Schizosaccharomyces pombe: one gene and its partner. Each later gene encodes a partner of the first gene's protein in a complex. Each region holds a gene or a part of one and is shown in the gene's direction. Other genes may lie near its edges.

Region 1 (6,503 bases):
TGATATCGTTCCTTTGTTTAGCCATCTTTTCCGTATTCAGCCATCTGATCGATCTACAACCCAACAAATAAAACAATTTCCTTTTTTTGCTACTATTACTTGGGACAATTTATGGACTCAAGATCCTCCTCCTATGCAGTCATTCCGGCCTAATTATAACATAGCCATTCCTAATGCTCCTGCTTATTATCGCTCAAATGTGACAGCCGCAGCTGCTGCTAATGCTGCCGCGGCATTTGCTTCTGCATCCATTGTAAAGCATCAGGAAACTGCTCGACGTCAGGAGCTTCCTACGGTAAATCGTTTCACTGCTCCAACTGCTCATTATGGCTATGCTTCACTTCGAAGCCATCAGATGCCTGTTGACAGACTTTATTACAAGTTGGTTCCATCGTCTGAGTCGATCATTGAATCTACCTCGGTCTTCGTATCACCCATTCCAAGTGTACCTGAGGGTAATAAGTTTCCATCTGGACTCTCAAAAATGTTTTTGAAAAGAAAGCAAAGGGTTATGCTATTAACTGATGTTGGTCGATGCGCTTTTGTTTGTAAAGGAAAACATGAGAGACTTTTTATCGAGATGGAGGTGAACTTGAAGGATTCCAGTGTTGTAGTGATTTTTGATGAAAATAGTTCCAAGCGATTCTTGATTGAAGATAAGGTCCAGTCCTGGATAATAGAAGACAGTTCCGGGGATGTCACCAAGTATAAAGACAAAATCCTTAAGTTTGCTGATGTTGCGTCTTCTCATCAATCTCGTTCTTCAGAAGAGAATGTAGAAGAGAACGAGGAAGAGTAACCCCATACCTTGTTTTATTTGATTTTTCAACCCATTTACTACCTTCTTTATATTTTATTATTTGTCGTCAGTGTTTTGGTAATATTTAACTATTTAAGCTATACATAATTAGAAATTACGACGCACCTAGGAAGTCGCAAGATGGAGAGGTATTATGTATACATATATATGTATAGTATTTATAATATATATACTTGAATTAATTTTATGTTAAAATTCCATTTCTTTTGGTGAGATGTTAAAATTATAATATTAGTAAGAAGAGAGAGTTAGATAGGATCGATTTAAAGCGCATACTCTTGATACCAATAAAAGTTTTGTGGTATCAAGGAAATAATGTTTATCAACGTTCCAAATTAAAACAGAAAAAGAAAATGATAAATGTTCAGGACCCATTATGCTAAGCTCTGTGATATCAATCCTCATCTTGTTGACATATGTTACATCATGTGGGCCACAATTAATAAAGCTATTAAAAAAGAGTTAGAAATATCAGTTTCTCTTACTTTTAGAAGAATTTTCAGAAGGCATTTTTTCCCAAAATAATTGAATTCTAGCAAGCAGGGCGTTATCGTTTTGAATGGGAATAACACCTGACAGAGCTTGCATTACTACTTCAAAGTCTGCATCAATTAGCGTGTCCCACATTCCTTGTATAACCGCAAGAGAAGTGGCTTGCAATAACCTGACAGTTTGACCTTTGCTTCCACCTAATAAAAACAGGAGATCCCATATACGTAATTGAGTATGGAAGGGCACGCATTGATGAAAAACAGTGAGATACCAACGTGTAGCAAAAGCAGATGGTTCTGCTCCAATTTCCGCCAGATGTCTGCCTGATTGTGTAAAACTTAACTCATGCTTAAGCATGTCAAAAGCCTTTAAAAGTGTATCAAACCCGGAAGAAAACAAGTCCCCCATGCCTCTATTTTCCAATAAATTTACCATCATTATAAATGCTTGTTCTTCGGGATAGTAAATGAGCAAGGTCGCAGCAATAGAAGCCATTCCTTGAACGTATCCAACACGAGGTATATAGAGAGCTACAGCATGAAGAACTCTAAATAGTAAACGTTGCCCTCCAATGTAGCGTTTTCGGAATAAGAAATGTGTAGCAGCTGTTCTGGGAACATCTAGGTCAATTTGAACATCATAGTCACAAATCTGCTCGTTCAATTGGTAATACTTGTCAATCAGTTTTTTATCAGGAAGAGAATCCACAAGAAAGGACCACCACGCAATAGATCGCCAACAATCTGGAATCCCCTTAAATGTACGTAAAATTAACTTACGAGTTTTTCGAAAAGAATGGAGCTGATTACCGGAAACGAGGTGTATTGAACACATCGATTTCCATTTTTGAATACGGGAAAGCTCTTTAGCTGATATTTCGTTGCGGTCATGCGACTCGCCGGGAACAACCATGAAGATGCTTTCATCAACGTACTTCAGCATGTCATCATGGCCGATTAATTTATTGCCAAGACGTTTGGCAGGGTTTGGTTTATCTAATGTTGGGTCTTTACTAACTTTATAGAACCCTAAATTATTAACATTAAAGTCTGAGCGATAGTTTCCGTAACGATCCACATTTTCCAATGACTCTTTTGTATCGATTTCTTGAACTTTTCCATTAATAGGTTCTGGTATATTTAAATTATTCTTGTCTTCTTGTAACCTGTACAACGACCGAATTCGTTGCAAATTGGTTGTTCTAGTTGGGGAAGGGTTTTCCATGCTCTTTCAGATATATCCTCAATTCCGTCACTCTGGAGAAAACAGATTACCTACTAAACTGTATTAAAATATCCAACACAGAAAGATTTAACAGGGGGGAATTGTTTCCGATGTAGTAATGTTTACGGTCCCAAAAGACCGTCTATCCCCATATAAGTCAGTACGTTAGATCCCAAAATCAAAATAACCAAACATGAAAATCTTTTTTTGACGTTTTTATAATTTTTCAAGCAATAAATGCATTCGTGCAAATGCTTATGAATTTGGTTCTCGCTACAAATTTATTGGCTCTATGTCATTTCCATTGATGAAAACTAGTTATAAAGTAGAGACCGAGACCCGATCACAAAACAAAAAAACGACACGCTATATTGCTTTACTGTAATTACATAGCTTTTCGCTATTTTGTTTAAAGAAAAGCTAATTTATCACTATTGATGCTTGACGAAATGCTCCCTATCGGCACATTCAGCAGGTGCTCAAGTTATCCAACAACATCATAAGCACTAGACATTAGATATGCCGGTATGTTCTAAAGTTTTGAATTTTTGTTGCTGACATGTTATGAAAGGCCTATCATTCCTCCTTCTTAAGTCTTACGGACGTCCCTACCACGGGAAACATAGCAATGCTGCCGTTGAAAACCAAGTTTCGTGGACCGGCTTATCCTGGTATGTTCCAGATATTTGTCAACTCTGTTTAAAGACTATTCTTAATGTTATTAGAGTACTTTCTAACATTTTTTATACAGCTGATGAGAGTCAAATGGATATTATTGATGAATGCATTGGGCTGTTTCGCGCCAATTGTTTCTTCCGCAATTTTGAGATTAAGGGACCAGCAGACCGTACTTTAATTTATGGAACATTATTTATCAGTGAGTGCTTGGGAAGAGTTAATGGACTCAATTATCGTGATGCTGAACGTCAACTTAATAGTTTAGCGTTGGAGAATTTTTCTATTCCTGGCTCTGCTGGCTTTCCCTTGAATGCATTATATGCTCCTCCCCTTTCTCCTCAAGATGCTGGTAAGATTCACCCAAACTGTGGCATTAGACATATAGATGTTTGTGCCGCTAATAGCTTTCTTGCTTTTTTTTTCATTTGCTAACTATTAAAAAAAGAAATAATGCGTACATATCTTACTCAATTTCGTCAGGAACTTGCTTATCGTCTTTTGTCCCATGTATATGCAACTGAAAAGGATCATCCCAGCAAGTGGTGGACTTGCTTCAGCAAGAGACGTTTTATGAACAAAGCTTTGTGAGTCTATTAATTAATAATTTGGCTCATACTGTATTTCAAAGCCTTTATGTTTTTCCGTTTCCTTTATTTCAAATGCGGCTTATAAAGTTTTTGAAGCGTACGAATGGCTTATTTAATGTAGGCAGTTTTATACGTAGATAGTAGATGCAAAAATAATCGCTTTACTTTCATGTACAAGTTATCAATTAGCTTTGTTAATTATGCTAAAGGAATATTTGAATGATTAAAGTCGTAATATTCAATGTTGGTTCAAAAATTTTTATTGAAATCGTAATTTTGATTTTTGCAAACGGCAGACCCAATAATGAGGATGGTATATCCATTCAAGCATACTTCGTTTGTCCCCCATATAAGTCGTGTCGACCGAATTGTGCTTTAAAACCTCAAATCCCATACTATCCATCACGTAAAACAGCTGCTCGAGAGTCAATTCAACGAAAGGTTGTTGCTGGCTATCACTGTTAGAATTAGAAGTACCTTCTGACTCAAAATGATACAATAAAGGCCCGAGATTTATCCAATAACCTCCATCTACCAAACAGTTTTTAATTGTATCCAAATAGTCCAGTATGTTTTTTGTAGTGTCTATAAAGAAGCAGGTAGCTACTACTTGAAACGAATCACGACTTTCTTCGGTGCCGTATACCTCCAGGAAATCCCCGGCTGCCATTGAAAAGTTTTGTGAATTCCGCAGATATTGAGAGGGAACTGCATCAGGAATATTTAATGAACGCACCTGGTCATCACGCATGACATGGTTCGAAAATGAATGAATATAAGGATACACAAGAAACTGATTTTCCTGCTTTACGCAATTCAGTATGAAATGCGACGTTAAAAGCATAAAATATGAGAACTCATTTCCTTGGCATGCAAAGCCTATTAAATGTTAGAAGCTATGTCCAAAAATCCAAATTTAGAAAGAAGTTAGAAAACATGTAATCAGATAAATAATAAATCATGCTATTTTTGATTGATAGTATCAAGTGTACCTACCTTCCACAGCTATATCAAAGGCCAATCTTCCTAAGCCGGAACCTGGAACAAGTACACGAATTTTAGATCTGTCTATAGAATCAGATGGGAAAAGTGAATTTAGTTCCTCGATGAAAGGAGCATATGTAGTACGGCGTTCCTCAACACATTCGGTCGACCAATCTCTCGCAATTTGCTTGAGAGTGCTTGAAACTTTTTGCATCATATCAACATTGACATGAAATAACTCATTTTGATCGAAATCACTGCAGAACACAGGAATGGCTGCGTTAGCGATTGCTTCAGCAAGCACGCTGTTCTGCTCGATACATTGATCAATCCTTGAAAGATGCTTTAAAAAATTGTTGTCAGAGTCCTGTAAGAGTAAGTCCTTGTGTTCAAAAGACAACCTGCTCATCGATTTTCTCTTCTGTTGTGTTATTGTATGAGCATATTGCCTGTACAAAAAGAACGCGCTTAAAACTTCTTTCAAAACTTTTACTTCTTCCTCATCATATTCCATAGTTTTTTTTGATGTTTCTGAGCTCTATCTAGACTTTAATATTTTTATCATCTAAGTCGCAATTTTGGCGTTGTGGAGAAGTTAAACCTCTAACTTGTTGCTTCATTGAAGTTGGAAGTGTTGAAGAAACCAATAAGTTAAGAATATTATGGTTAATATAATTATGTTTTATGTATTTCATTAGCTTTTCAAGTTATGTTTATATCTACTGTGTTTGATTGCAATATTGAATCATCTCTGCTGAAAATCCCTGCAACGCGGTGCCTCTATGAAAATAGTGTTTGCCTTTTGCAAAAATCCCATAGGTTTTATTTGGATAGTTGTCAGACAATATTTTACAACAGCAGCCGCAAAGGAAATTCACCATGCTTCAACAATACCGGAACAGCTAATCTTCTGAAGCATCGTTATAGTAGTATTGTGAGTTTTGTAGATTATAAGAAAATAATATAAGAGAATCTTGGTGCACGCAGTAATATCATACAATATTTATATTGCAGCTTATAAACGAGACTGGAAATACACGTGAAAAGGTAGTCAGGTTAAAAGTTTAACCCTGTGACATCTGGCTAATCTTTTATCCTATTGCGCAGTTAAAAGCGGGAATTACTTCTTTTTCTTATATTGTATCAAAAATTGTTGGCTTCAGTGACCTAAACCCTTGAACAAAAGAAAAAAAACACGAATTTTCACGGCCGGAAAAACTTTCTGCAACGTTTTACAAAGGATCTACTATCATAGTAAGTAGAAATTTTGGCTTCTTGACATATAGTACTAAGTAATTTTCAAGTCGATGCATCAGTTGACTTCAATTGAAAGAGCTTGCTAGTTTGTGATGTTTATGGCATTTGAATTCGGTAATATCGCTAATTTGATATGGACTTACGTTTAGCTTTTTATTCTGTAAAAAAAATTAAAATTCAATGTAGTTGATATCCCAGCTATATATTCAATCTAAAGCTACAACGCAAGACATCGTCAAGTAGTAAATTACTTTTTACAATTGCAAATTAACTTTTAACAGATTGGCTAAGCAAACGTGTATTAACTCATTTAGCGAGCGGATCAAAGTTTTGCTCTACGCTTCTGTAAGTATGATGTATGTGCATCAACAACACGACGTTAATCCTTGTCACGTAGCAACTGCAAGCCACCCAAAGCACACATCGTGTGGTTTCGTTTACTATACATTTTTTGGTCAAAT
Region 2 (3,344 bases), on another chromosome or scaffold:
ATTGTTAAAGGAAGGACCTTAAGCGCAGAACAAATTCTGGATTTGTATAAGGGTGTTTCAGCAGCTAATCCCAGTGGCTATGAATGTTTGTTGACAGGATATGCCCGTGGAATAGGAAGTGTAAAAGCAATAATGGAGATAGTTCGCTCCGTAAAATCCAAGAATAAGAAGGCTTTTTGGGGTATGTGCGTTAGAAGTTGCCAATTCCCTTGAAGACTGACATGCTGACGCTAAAAAGTTTTTGATCCAGTTTTGGGAGATAATGGAAGGCTTTATGTCGAAGAAAGCATTATCCCGCTGTATAGAGAGATGCTCCCTTTTGCTGATTTAATTACACCTAATGGGTTTGAAGCAGAGTGAGTACTTTTAAGGAACAATCCTGCAATGAGTTTGAAAATCACTGACTTTTACTTAGAATTCTTTCAGGGATGCGCATAAATTCAATCGACACAGCATTTAAATGTGTGGAATGTCTACAACAAAAATATAAAGTTCCACGGGTTGTCATTTCATCTTTTGTCGTTGAAGAAAACGGCGTAGAAAAACTCTACTGTATAGGATCTTCTATATATTCCAAAAGTTTTTTTGTTCTGATTCCCGTGATTCCTGGGATATTTCGGGGAACTGGTGATCTATTTACAGCACTAATGGCAGCTCATATTGCTGAGAGCCCGGATTGTACTGAGAGCCTTGCCTCTATAAAGGAGGATAAACTTAAGAAATCAGTAGAAATGGCCCTTAGTTCTGTGCATGAAGTGATCCAAAAAACTGCCGACCGAATTTCTGCATTAGGTGTTGAAGAATATCACCCAGCTTATGCCGAACTCTGCATAGTTAATAGTCAAAATAGCATAATAGCTCCATCCAAATTATTCGAAGCAGTATACTATTATTAAATTTCGGATCTTTTATGCGTCTAAAATATGTTGGCCTTACTGTACCAAGGCCTGCTGTTTCAAAGTTGATTTTTTACTATCCGTTTTTCGCTTTCTTTTTTTGGATTGCACGTGAAATTCACAAAATATAGATTTTTTCAGTGTCTTGTTTCGTTTGCCTTTTTTACATGCTAACTTGGTGTTTGTTTTTCTCTTAAATAAAGGTTCATTACGATACCTCTCTTTTGCGAAGTATACAATGTTTTATATTAGAATGCTTATTGAAATTAATTTAGAAGTTTATAACTATTTATTCCATATCCTAAAGACTGTTGACTGGTTTCAAAATTTCGCAACCAAGGTTTATAAAAGCCATGTATTGGTACACTTCGAATTAGATAAAGTAATTAGATTCAGAACTCCTAATATACTGATTAATTTTTTTTTTTTTTTTTTAATTTCTAACATTTTAGATAAAATATTCAGTATATCCATAGACGGTAAAATAGTAGAAGTTTACCTAAGAAGCAAAAGGTAATCTAGAACAAAGAATGAGAACAAAAAGATTGTTAGTTCTTTAAAAATATATATTGAGTTCATGGTTTTAATATGATCTGTTGTTTTCTTACATGTTTGCAGATGCCTCAGTATAAGGATTTATAACACTATATGAACCTGAGTAATAAGAATTCCCGGGTCCGTCACACGTTAACCATCAACCATGCTCTCATTAGATTATAACAATATATTCATTTACGAGTTACTGACAGAAAGGTTTTCAAGGTATGTGAAACAAACAATAAAGAATTTCACTAATTTATAGCGAAAACCCGTCGTCGATTGATCAAGTGGTAACTGATTTTGATGGCGTCACGTTCCACATTTCAACTCCTGAGGAAAAGACGAAAATCTTGATCAGTCTGTCTATGAAATGCTATCCTGAGCTTGTTAATTACGGTACTCTGGATTTACTGAAACAGATTTACGGTGCTTATGTGCATGAACCTGAAATGGGATACAACTTCAGTATTCTTATAGACTTACAACAACTTCCCGCTACCGATGAGGAAAAAGAACAATTAGCTATGTCTATTTCTATGTTAAAAAGAAACGTTTTAGCTGCTCCCTTCCACCGTGCATTCACCAAACAAGCCGAACTAGCTGATTTGGCTCGTAAAGACCCGGAAAATGCCCCTATGCTTGACAAGCAAGCCACTTCTCAGGAGCTCATGGCAATTCATTATCGTGATGAAGAAACTATTGTTTTATGGCCTGAGCATGATCGCGTTACAGTCGTCTTTTCAACGAAATTCCGTGAAGAGACTGATCGCATCTTTGGCAAGGTATTCTTGCAGGAATTCGTTGATGCCCGTCGCCGTCCGGCTATTCAAACCGCTCCTCAAGTGCTCTTTTCCTATAGAGATCCACCTTTGGAGATTCGTGATATTCAGGGTATTCAAAAGGGTGATGACTTTGGATTTGTAACATTCGTTTTATTTGAGCGTCATTTTACACCTCAAAATCGTGAAGATTGCATATCTCATATCCAGGTTTTCCGCAACACCCTACACTTTCACATTAAGGCTTCCAAGGCTTACATGCACCAACGTATGCGTAAGCGTGTTGCTGACTTCCAAAAGGTTTTGAACCGGGCCAAGCCCGATGTGGAATTGGAGAGAAAGACAGCTACTGGTAGGTCATTTGTTCGTGCTTAATGTTCCGTCCCATGTTGATCCTTTCTTTCATCGTATCTTCATACGTAGTTATGATCTTTATATATGCTTCATGCTTCCCTCTCCTCGTAACAAACGTGAATTGTTTCTCACCCTTTTTTTCTATTCAAAGCTGGGTTGATTAAATGATGCTAGCGCAAAATACAGGAATATCAATCTTTGATTGTAGATACACACGTTACATAAGAGATGCTTATTTTTTGAAAATGAAAATTGTATTATACAAGTCATAAATAGTAACTGTTCTAAAGGACAAACTTTGAATAGCTAGTTAAGCCGTAATTTTGTAGCGCTATTGCAAAATACTTAGAAGAAGGAGAAAATAATCGCAAATTGATTTGTAAAAGCTCCGAAAAAGGAACTTCCTCATAAAATTTAAAGTATATTCTTTATATCCGTTTTCTGAGTAACATTATAGTTCTCGAAAAGAAGAACGTCTTCTTCCTTCGTGACTATCAGATTCATTTTTTCGTTTTCTTCTTCGACTAGTTTCTGTCGAGTCGTCGAGGTCATAAGCTGGACTACGTGTATGGGGACTCGACAGGGAAGAAAGAGAAAACAGTCTGTCTGATTCCGAATAGTCTGCACGACGGCGGAGGTTTGATGCATTGTTTTTTAAAAGACCTTCGAATCCACGAATAATGTTGCCAGTACCCGATGTTTTTTCTAAGTAACTGCCTTCCAGCCTATAGATAGAGTCCTCGAGACCTATTAACGAAGTTTCCAACAATTGTCG

Evidence for each region.
Region 2: arc3 (region 1) and arc2 share a complex: the UniProt entries of both Schizosaccharomyces pombe proteins name them as parts of the arp2/3 complex.

Annotation. Positions count from the first base shown.
Region 1 is NC_003423.3:3,108,757-3,115,259, reverse strand, and holds arc3 (ARP2/3 actin-organizing complex subunit Arc21), read left to right. Parts: upstream 1-3,022; 5' UTR 3,023-3,055; coding exon 3,056-3,061; exon of another isoform or gene 3,062-3,107; coding exon 3,108-3,207; exon of another isoform or gene 3,208-3,287; coding exon 3,288-3,563; exon of another isoform or gene 3,564-3,659; coding exon 3,660-3,802; 3' UTR 3,803-4,060; downstream 4,061-6,503. Other genes in the region: pdk1 (serine/threonine protein kinase Ppk21/Pdk1), read left to right, coding at 1-799; SPOM_SPBC1778.09 (GTPase-activating protein), read right to left, coding at 1,292-2,536; SPOM_SPBC1778.07 (carnosine N-methyltransferase), read right to left, coding at 4,061-4,680, 4,798-5,299. UniProt on the Schizosaccharomyces pombe protein: Functions as a component of the Arp2/3 complex which is involved in regulation of actin polymerization and together with an activating nucleation-promoting factor (NPF) mediates the formation of branched actin networks.
Region 2 is NC_003424.3:2,749,224-2,752,567, reverse strand, and holds arc2 (ARP2/3 actin-organizing complex subunit Arc34), read left to right. Parts: upstream 1-1,585; 5' UTR 1,586-1,596; coding exon 1,597-1,658; intron 1,659-1,698; coding exon 1,699-2,590; 3' UTR 2,591-2,844; downstream 2,845-3,344. Other genes in the region: SPOM_SPAC6F6.11C (pyridoxine-pyridoxal-pyridoxamine kinase), read left to right, coding at 1-181, 239-356, 416-896; NuA4 histone acetyltransferase complex subunit Eaf6, read right to left, coding at 3,021-3,344. UniProt on the Schizosaccharomyces pombe protein: Functions as actin-binding component of the Arp2/3 complex which is involved in regulation of actin polymerization and together with an activating nucleation-promoting factor (NPF) mediates the formation of branched actin networks.